Nothobranchius furzeri: one gene and its partner. The protein of the gene in region 1 purifies or fractionates together with the protein of each later gene. This does not show direct contact. Links are inferred from orthologs where the notes say so. Each region holds a gene or a part of one and is shown on either strand. Other genes may lie near its edges.

Evidence for each region.
Region 2: the proteins of ddx23 (region 1) and cd2bp2 purify together in Homo sapiens (affinity purification with mass spectrometry; 6 studies listed by BioGRID and IntAct, counting the BioPlex papers as one, with this or other methods). This does not show direct contact. The link is inferred for Nothobranchius furzeri from reciprocal best matches to the Homo sapiens genes DDX23 and CD2BP2.

What each region holds. Positions count from the first base shown.
Region 1 is NC_091755.1:54,903,405-54,909,053, reverse strand, and holds the end of ddx23 (probable ATP-dependent RNA helicase DDX23), read right to left. Parts: intron 4,319-5,649; coding exon 4,076-4,318; intron 4,000-4,075; coding exon 3,848-3,999; intron 3,770-3,847; coding exon 3,661-3,769; intron 2,112-3,660; coding exon 1,937-2,111; intron 1,848-1,936; coding exon 1,624-1,847; 3' UTR 1,179-1,623; downstream 1-1,178. UniProt on the Homo sapiens protein: Involved in pre-mRNA splicing and its phosphorylated form (by SRPK2) is required for spliceosomal B complex formation.
Region 2 is NC_091745.1:8,816,642-8,821,620, reverse strand, and holds the end of cd2bp2 (CD2 antigen cytoplasmic tail-binding protein 2), read left to right. Parts: intron 1-1,062; coding exon 1,063-1,192; intron 1,193-1,327; coding exon 1,328-1,485; intron 1,486-1,564; coding exon 1,565-2,120; intron 2,121-2,195; coding exon 2,196-2,281; intron 2,282-3,274; coding exon 3,275-3,385; 3' UTR 3,386-3,557; downstream 3,558-4,979. UniProt on the Homo sapiens protein: Involved in pre-mRNA splicing as component of the U5 snRNP complex that is involved in spliceosome assembly.

The DNA of each region.
Region 1 (5,649 bases):
CCAAGCACACGCTGCACAGCTGCAGCTCCCGAGTCAAAGCTTCACAGAATGTAAGCTTGCATGCCTTTTGCACCTCCGGCACCACCTGGTTTCTACCCCGTTCATCCAACTGTAGCACGTTACTGATTGTAGCACTCACCATTTCCAAGATTTTAAGCATTTTTAAAATTTCTTTTCCACACTAAGATGGATCCTCAGGTGTAAGTCCTACTACACCGCCATCGAGCTCAGCTCCACGTTCCGTCAGGCTCCTGAGGCGCTCGTAGCTCCCGTAACATCCTGTCCATCTCTAGTCCGTGAGCAGAGTTTGATGCTGTTGAGCAGCGACCCGTCTCTGTCCCTCCACAGGGACAGCGTTTACTGCTTCCACGTGTCGCATACAGTTATCTAGTGTTCTGTATATATAAAGAGAAAATTTTAAAAAATGCATGACTTTAAAAAAGAAAAAAATCTATGCAAGTGTTGCATGAAATCTGATCGTTTCTTTTTCCAGTTAAGTATTTTAGTAAAATGCGTTTGGTTCGGACTCTCCTCGTCGTCTTGTAGTGATGGTCGTGTCTTTGGGGCGACTCGCAACACGATTACTGAACATTTATTTCTCCAAAGCCCCGAGCGCTGAGGATGCCCCTAAAAGTATTCCCAGGGTGGATTTTATTTCTAAACAACTGACTAGTTAGGGAGTTCTCACAGGCCTGCATGTCTCAGTTCAACAATTAGCTACTTTCATAACATTTTGCCAATTTGTTTATCAAAGTGGACCAACTTAGCAACTGATGACGCAGATAAGGATGTTCAATTTATCAAGCACAATTTCTACAAGGGTTATCATTTAATTTTCTTATTCTGTATGCAATATGAAGCCTAACATTAAAAAACAAAACAGACTAACGCCTTAGACCATCCGGACTTCCTCTATGTGAGTAGAAAAAAATTGCACTATTTTATTTTGTTTGGGGATGGGGTGGTTGCTTTGTAATGCAATAACTGCACTAAATCCAACCATGTATCCACCAGACTACCACAGCGTGCTAGCGTGGTCCGACACGCCTCTTCCCTGGATTTATCAAAAAGACAGAAAATGAGTAGAAAAGTGAGCCGTTTCCTGCCTGATGCTGTAAAGAATGCTTTCTATTTCAAAACCGATTTACAATGCTAAGTGAAATATGACTTCAACTAAATAAACAAGACATTTTATGTACTTTTAATGGTTTTGGTTCTTGTTTCATGGTGCACCTTTTATCCACTGCTTCTGAACGGTGGACTATAATGTTTTTGCCTGTCTCGACAACAGCTTCAACAAACAAGGTCATCTGAAGTGTGTTGTACGGATGTTTATATTTAAAAACGGTTACAGCATTTAACCAAGAGGAAAACCTGACTTCCCATCAGGTTTTGGTCTCACATCACAACACAAAACTCTGCAGCTACTTATTTCACGTTTATACACAGTTTTGCTCACTGGTCCAACTTCACCCTCTGCAAATGTGTTTTTCTGACCACAAATGGGACATAAATAACACAAAACCAGGTGAAAAAGTACCAAAGAGCACATTGTGCGACGGGAAAATAAACAGGAACATTTTTGTCTTGTGGTCAATGAACGAAGTAAAAAAATAACTGAAATCAAGCAAATATGGTCTCCTCGCGTCTCTTCTTGGTAAGGATGGTTCCAGGTTTGTGCTGCGCATCGGGGTGGTTGGTCAGCTCCGGAGGACAGGTGGACACCGGGCTCTCCAGGATTGCCTGCTTCAAGTCATAAAAGACAGCAGAGTCCTCCTTGGTGAGGAAAGTCATGGCCACACCGCTCTTGCCGGCACGACCAGTACGACCAATACGATGGATGTAATCTGTAGGAAGAGTCACATGATCAGATTATTATCCATGTTTGGAAACCAAGTGCCTGTTGAAACACAAGTGACAAAAAAGAAACAGTGACCTTCAATGTTCTTTGCCATGTCATAGTTGATGACCATGGAGACGTCCTGGATGTCGATACCTCGACCAGCAACATCTGTGGCCACCAGGATATCTTTGGCTCCTGCCTTGAGATTGGAGAGGGCAAACTCTCTCTGCTCCTGGCCTTTGCCACCATGCAGCGTGCACGCATTGTACTGAGAAGAAGAGAAGGCGAGGGTCAACACAGCTGTGAACAACACATAATGCATACAACACTACAGAACCAAACACTCATCAAAGCCACAAGTCGCAAAATGTTCATCCAGACAGGTATGCGTCTCTGACGGTCACTGAGCTGTGACCATCGGAGACCAGGAGATTGTTACATTTCCTCAGTCACAGAATCTCATCGTGTTGCTCAGTCAAGCAGAATGTTCCTCACAAGATGGACTTAAAGGGAGACTAGGCAGTCTTGGCTTGCTTGAAGCTGCACCATCTTGACTCAACGTTATACGTGTGACAGCCCCATCTAGTGGACAACTTTTGTTTCTACACATACCTGTGGTTATCGCCAATTTATCGTTATCGAGGTGAAATCCTCAATATATCGTGATATTGATTTTAGGCCATATCGCCCAGCCCTTCCTCACTGTGCATTCATCTTTTTAACACCTTAAGCTAAAAGCTGAAATGTCTCCCCAGCCTTCCTTAAGCTCTACAAGAGCGGATAATCACTAAATTAAACAAATCAGCTGTGTTCCTGATCCAAAATATGCAGGAAACGTGATGGAAGACTGCAGCGCCAGGTATGTCAGCTCCATTTTCTTCTAAATCAAACAGACCAGACCGGCACTCTGAAGTTGCAAATGCACAAAGGACAGTGGCATTTCCTTAACCTGGTAAAGGGTTATTTTAGCGCATACTGGCTCATGAAAATGATATTCAAAATATGAAAAAGTCACAAAGTATCCGTTTAAGATACTTTGTGACAAAAGCTTCATTTATACTTCATCAGCCGTGCGCAAGAGACGCACACGCATTGAAAGAGGCGTTTAGCTCTTGGACTTCTCCGTCAGCTGGGGATTGTTGCATAATAATTCCCCGCCAAGACAAGAGAGGGCGTAGCGCCGATCTGAGGTTTCCTGCCACCATCACAGTCAAGTATCTGGTCCACAATAGTGTGTTTACTAATGTGTTTACATTGTTTTCATGTATTTCAGAGACTTTTGAACACAAACAAATTTGTCTCCCATTCTCCACCTCTTTCTGCGATCGGCACCTCTAAACTCACGTTCGTCATTTCCGACCATGAATAAAACGCTTGTGCATATCTTTGTACTCCTTCAGTCGCGGGTGAATAAACCTTCATATAGACTGTTTTCCACAATGCCTTCTTAAATCCATGTCTGCCGCTAAATATCGTTTTACTTTTTGAGGGGGCGAAGGCGGCGCTCTTGACTAAATTACAGGAATCAGCATCCTGACCAGTCACAAGCTTGCAGTCTCTGTTAAGTGAACACGTCTCCGTCACCCTCTGTGAGCCCGTCGGAGAACTCTTGCAATGATGCATAAAGGTGTGGCGTGTTTCCGCACCGACGCAGACGAATAAGTGTAAATGAAGCTTAAAGCGCAGCAAAAGTCCGTTAAGTCACTAAATTGTTGCAATATTTGCAGTTAAAAATGAAAACAACCAGCATTTTTCTGAATAGGTGTCAAATCTATTTCATAAGGTGAGATCCTGTTACACAGCCTCCTGATCCTTACCCCCATCTTCTCCAGAGATTTAGCCAGCACATCGCAGCCCTTCTTCTGGTTGACGAAGATGATGATGGGAGGCTCGAAGCCGCGCGACAAAACTTCCAGCAACTTCTTCCTGTGCGACACAAAAACAAAACTCGCTCAGCACGCCGGCACAGTTGAGATGTTTGCCGTGTTCCCGCCTGCAGCTCACCTCTTCTCTCCTTCTGACATCAGCAGCACCTTCTGTTCGACCCGCTCGTGAGGTTTTCCAGCTGATCCGATGTACACCACAGCAGGACGTCTCAGGTAGCTCCGGGCCAGTCGCTCCACAGCTGGAGGCATCGTAGCGGTGAACATGACCGTCTGAAAGGTTGGATAAATCACGGTTTGTTCACCAGAGAACACCTGGTACCTACAAGCGGTTCGCTCAAACACATACCTGTCTGTATTTGTGTTTCCCAGACTCAAAGTTCATCATCATCTTCTCAGGGTCCTCTGCTTCATCTGTGTCTGGTTTTTGATTGGTCACCGGGATGTACTCCAGGATCTTCTGGACGTCAGGCTCGAAGCCCATGTCGATCATACGGTCGGCCTCATCCAGGACTACGTAGGTGCAGCGGCCCAGAACCAAGTACCGGTTCTCCAGCACATCGATCAGACGACCGGGAGTGGCGATTACAATCTGTAGGCAGGAAAAAGAAACTAAATGAAATGGTAAAGTGAAGCCTAACTTCTCCGTCACCGGGGAGAGACACACGCGCACGGATGGGGACGTTGTGCTATCGGACTTCTCCGTCTCCTGGGGAGTGCAGCAAACAACTCCCCACCAGGACAGCAGAGGGCGCAGCGCTGTTCTGTGGTATCCTGTCATGCATCCAGTCCACATGGTGTGTTTATGTTGTATTTAAGAGACTTTTTAACAAATTTGTCACTCATCCTCCTCCGCCTCTTCATGCGCTCGCCACCTCTAAACCCACGTTTCCCGTGATTTCCGTCCACGAATAAAACGTTTGCTGCGTATCGTTTTACTCCTCCGGTCACGGGGGGATAAAACGTTTTTTGTTTTCGTTTTTTCCGCGATGTATTCTTCAAGCTTCTCCGTGTCTGCCGCGAGATATCTTGGCTCTCTTTGTTTTTGAGGGCGCAATGACGGCGCTGTAGATGGCGTCCTGACCAATCGCAAGCTTGCGCTCTCCGTCTCGACAGACGGATGTTTAGAAGAGAGAGCTCGACTCCGTCCGTTCTTGCGAGGGCTCTCCATCAGGCTCGCAAGGACGGATAATGGCGTTGCGTCCGTCCTGACGCAGACGGAGAAGTGTAAATTAGGATTAAGCTGCAAAACTCAAAAAGTATGAAATACTGAACGTTTGCTCTATTAATGCTCTACTAGAGATTTAAAGAATATTTTCACACAACTTCCAAACTGTCAGAATCAAAAAATTAAAGATAATCATCAACAACCAGGGCATCTACACTCATTCCTCTTAAAATTCCAGGTACTAGCTGAGTGGTTTTGGTTGTTCTCTGGAGCAGACGCATGTTACCCCCAAATTCCACTACCTCCGCTCCGGTCCGCCCCCGCCTTCCGCAGCCGCTCGCTTCCGAACTCAATTTTTACTGCTACCCGCTCTACAACGGCTCCGCTCCGGTGCGGAGACCTGAGGGGGGCAAACAAGCATGCGCGGGATTTTCGAGATCTTGCGATACAGTCCGAGCAATAAACGCGGAAGTTAGATCCAAACACCCGTTGTGTGGGAGAAGCATCGGCATGAACTGTTTAATCTGCCCATCATGTGTGTTGAGAGATCAGCAGTGTTTGGATCAACAAAGTGTGACTACTTTGATAGTGGAAACTGTATTTATGGCTTAATTTTGTGCATTTAAACTTCAGCCGCCATTGATAGTTGTTAAAAGTTGTTAAATCTGTGCATATGAAACAAAAAACGCCGTTTGTTTATCGATTTATTGTGAAAAACGGAAATTGTGCTTGCTCCTTTTCCTGTTGGGCCGTTG
Region 2 (4,979 bases), on another chromosome or scaffold:
TTGGCCTTTTGCTATGACACTTGTTTACCCCCCAACTGGAGGGCACTTGGGCTGAAAAAGGCTCTTCAAAGCAACCTGGCCCTATGAGCAAAACATGATTGACTCCTGATTAAAACAACTGCAATCAAGCTTTTGTGATCATGGGTGATGAATTGTTTTGATGCAGTGGAGTGGAGCTGTTCAGGCGTTCTTCAGAAATTTCCGGTAGTGAGCAGAATTTTGCTTGTATGATTTTTTTCACAGCTCTTAAGTAAGATTACTTTTAATCAAATTTATGATGAGCACCCCCCCGGATAATCCTAAACCCTCCAACTCGAAGGCTCCAAGTATGACCTATTTTAACCTATTTTGTCCTACATCATTTTACATTCAGTGTTGCAGCAAGTAGACTCGCACAAGGCCTCTGCACAGAAAATAAATATTAAAATGAAAGTAAAATATCAGTATTAAAATGAGATATACAATTACAACAATATACAATCAAAACATGAAGTGAGTCGGATAACAGTTCAGTCTTACAGGACTATGCTTTAGCATATTTCTGACTCAAACGTGCCAAATCCCATACAGCAGCTGAATGCACCATTTAAACAAGTTGAATCAGATCTCTGTACTATTTTAGACTTTTTGCTGCTGGCATGTCTTATAAAGACTTTATTGAAACAGTTTAGTAGCAACAAGAATGGTAACTAACAATCTTCCATTTCAGTTTTCCACAATTCTCAGAATATTGTACATTTCCTATTTATTCTGAGTGGTTTGCCTTTTGAACTAAAGACTCTTTATTTTTTTAACCACTCATATCTTTGAGTTTTCTATTTTTCTATCACTTTCAGCAAATTGTTTAACCAGTGACACATTAATGCCTTTGTTTTTTACAGCAAAAGTAGTAATAGTGGTACTTGTGCCGCAGCACTGACCCATGGGTTTAGGGGTTTGTCTTCAGACACAATGCATTTTTACTTTTAATGCAAAGATCAGAACTTTGCTTTTGACTCTACGTTTACTGGTTATACTGCTATTTTGTATTTAGTTCATCATTTTCTTTTGCTGTAATTGCAGAGCTGTGAGGCTGTCAGTGGACCAGGCTCCAGGTTTAAGGGTAAACACTCCCTTGACAGTGACGAAGAGGATGATGGAGAGGACACAAACAACAGCAAATACAATATTCTTGACAATGATGATGTGGAGGGTATGTCTTGTTAAGTATTTCCATTATACTTTTGAAGTTGTAAACTGGGTCCAGTTTTCCTTAGGCTGTGTGAAGCAATGTTTTTTGTTAAATGCTTTTTGTGGTGAATTGGGGTGGTGCCACCTTTGTTTCCAGGCCAAGAAGGAGCGACTATTGACTTTGACGAAGGAGTTTCTATTACACCTTTCAACCTGGAAGAGGAGATGCAGGAAGGCCACTTTGATTCAGAGGGAAACTATTTCATCAAAAAGGAAACACAAATTAGAGACAACTGGCTCGACAACATAGACTGGGTAATTGCATTCTCAGACAAATGATTATTTAATGGAAGCTCTGCATTTTGCAGTAAGTGAAGTATCTGTTTTCTTGCAGGTGAAAATAAAAGAGCAGCCTATTAAGAAAAAGAAAGGTCTTGCAGCCAAACGGAAACGCAGAGTCGGTGATGAAGATGAGGCAGAGGAAGAGAAACGAAGGGAAGAACAGCAGGCAAACCAGGAGGATGAAGAGGAGGAGGAGATGCCTGCAGAGGACCCGTTGGCTGCCTACACTCAACAGCAGCTTGTTGAAGCTGTTGTTGAACTGCTGCAGCCTGGAGAAACGGTCGCCGCGGCGCTCCGTCGGTTAGGAGGCCTTGGAGGGCGCAAGAAGGGAAAGCTGAGAGAAGAAAACCAGTCCACAGAGGAAGCTTCAAGAGACACGGAAAAGCTGGATAGGCTCACAGCTTTAGCTGACAGGCTGGTTGGATCTGGGATGTTTGAAATCTATCAGCAGAGCTATGAAAAACTGGCCTACGTGATGAAAAGCATGACCAGCAAGAAGCCAGCAGTGAGGCAGACGAAAAGTGACGATGAGGAAGAAGATGAGCTTGACATGTTTGGTGATAAGTTTGATGAGAAGATTGGTGAGAAAGAAGAGGATGACAACCAAGGTTCTTTCCTTCATGCTTATAAATGATTAAGTTCAGAAGAAGGTTACTTACCTCGATTCCCCTTTTTCTTCTCAGTGAGTGATGAAGTGATGTGGGAATACAAATGGGAAAATGAGGAAAAATCTGAGGTCTATGGGCCATTCACCAGCCAGCAGATGCAGGTATTACTACTATTTTAGCTCTGACGTGTTAAATGCCCAACTTCCAAACTGATGTGGATTAAGAGGGTTTTCCTTTTTATTACGAATGTAGATTCTTGTGTGTCTGTGAGGAATTCAGAACACTTACCGGGCTTTTCCACCTGACACATTAGCATCACATAACGTCTGCAAAGCACCCTGCAACGTCCGCGAAGTGTAGTACACAGCAAATAGCCGCCGTCACAGTGGGTGCGTTTCCACCGACTGCTTAGCGCCAACGTTTTTGAGGCATCCCAGAAGCGTAGTGACGCGTTGCTCCGTTAAATTTATGCTTCCATTCTTATTTTTGTTAGCACTGTGCTTTCGTGCTGTGCTTTCATGACATGTCAGTCTCAGCCATTCAGATCAGGACAAACACAGGAGCACTGGGAAACATCTGGACACTTTAAAAATAATAAAAGACACGTGCCGATTTCCAGTTGCTTGTTTAAAATAGTTGTGATGCCTCTGTAGCCGAGGTAAACCCAACACAAAACAAACCACAGGTCTTTTTCAGACAAATGCTGCCGTCTTTCCTCTTCATTGTTACTGCGTGAACTTCCAGTTCTCTGGTGATTTCGTGATCTCGTGGGTTCAGCTGTTGGTGATGTTTTTGCCGCTGTTTCATTTCTGAAACGCTCCCAGTAGGAAGGGACAAGCGACTGAGATTGGAGGTCAAATGCTTCTATTACGTTACGCGACGCTTATGCATTCAGTGGAAATTAGGGGTTAGGCAGTGAGTAGTCTGATTTTAATTTTTTATTTTTTCTTGTACATTTATATTTTAAAAGAAAACATAAGTATAACACCTCATACATTTAAATGCAATGTTTTAAACATGTATTTTATTTATTTCCCTCCTCAAAATACCAATAATTCCATCATTTAATCTAAATAATTGAATTGTTGACTGGTTGTCTCATTAACCCCAGTCTGACCTAGTGGGCTTTTATTTTCTTACTGCTGTGTTTTCAGGGCTGGGTGGATGAAGGCTATTTTAGCAGCGGCGTCTACTGCAGGAGGGTGGATCAGGACGGATCTCAGTTCTACAACTCCAGAAGAATAGACTTTGACCTCTTCACATGAATTATGTACACCATCAGATGAAAAACAGCCCTCTTGAATTTTGTCACCACTCATGTTTTACTTGGATTTTCTCTGTTTATACACCAGGGTTTGGAGGAGAATTGGTCCATTCATTTTAGCCCTGCCTTTGTTTTCTGCAGATAGTTTTTAAATAAAAGGCTTGTGTGCATCATTGCTGAAATTCTATTCTTTCTTTTTCTGAAGCAAGGACACAGCTTGTAAATGCTGATTATTCATATACACTGCAGTTTTACATTTTATTGTTGCCCTTAATAACGTGTTTACATTTAAAGTTAGAAAACATGAGCACAGGGAAATCAGGGCAATGTAAGTTATTTTCTGTCGGAATAATTTTATTACAGTATTTAGGCAGAGTTGGAAAATGCCTAATAACCAAAATAAACCATTCCCCAGTAAATATGCACATTAATTTCGTAATGTGAATTTAAATTCGTCCTTAGATGGTTTTAAGCTTGAGCTTTATGCTTTTTTAAGTTATCAGAGAGGCGATATGAAAGGAATAGTGTCCGCTTTATCAACATTGCGTTTTAAATGTGTTAAACCGTTTCCTGAATGTGTGTCAAGTTATTAAAAAAACTCGCTTATGACGCTAGATATACAAGAATTCGTGAATTTTTCCGATGCTCCTATTGGCTGGCCTCAACCAGCGACCCTGACAGACGCAACATGATTGGTCAGCTTTCAAAGAGGCGTTTCGAGTGGAAACCAACCCTGAACTGTGATTGGCTGGGCTGATTGTTAGATTTGTAAAAACGGATACATTTTCTACTCGCAGTAGGGCGCCGTCTTTTCGTCATGTTTTGTTTACGGCGGGTTTGGCTTTCACCCCCACGGTCCAGTTACAGCTTTTAGGTGAGTTTATCTAATGGTTTTTATTTGCTGTCAACGTGTTCATGCAAGCTACATAACGAGAATATTCCCACAAATCCCGTAAGCACCAAAGAACGTGTAGAGAAATGACAGTTGTGGGCTACGACTATTAACTGGAACAGAAACTGCCACACTGTGTGTCCCTGTCGGCTATACAGCCATGGAGAGCTGACGGAGTTCGGATGAAAGTCAGCTACGACAACATTTGGGACAGTTTTAACGGTTAGGTTTTTGTCTGTTGTTGTTTTTTGTCGGCGGCTCACAATAAAGGTAAATAAAAAAAATTTCTCCAGTAAGTAGACTACGCTCAGTTTTGATCCGACAGCATCTGAAAACCTCGCAGCAAATAGCTGCTATGCATTTCATTTAGATGTAACATTATAAGGTGATTATTGAGTGTTTCCCGTGGCTTGGTGAAGGTTGTAGGATTTCGGCTGAACAACTTTGGCGCTAACACGGTGCAGCCTAGAGAGGGGGTCTAATATGTGCCACTTTGGAGGAAGGACTGCAGTTGTTAAAATCACAAAAGCTTATTTTCTTGGCTAAGTTTTAACACGATGACTGTCTCCCTTAACACTGACTGCGCATTGTTCTGTTGAAATCCATATGAATGATTTTGTCCTCAATACTGTTGATTAAAATCTTAACTGTAATCTAGTTGAAGTTGCCACTAATTCTCCCTTTGAGTTTGCTTCCAGTTAAA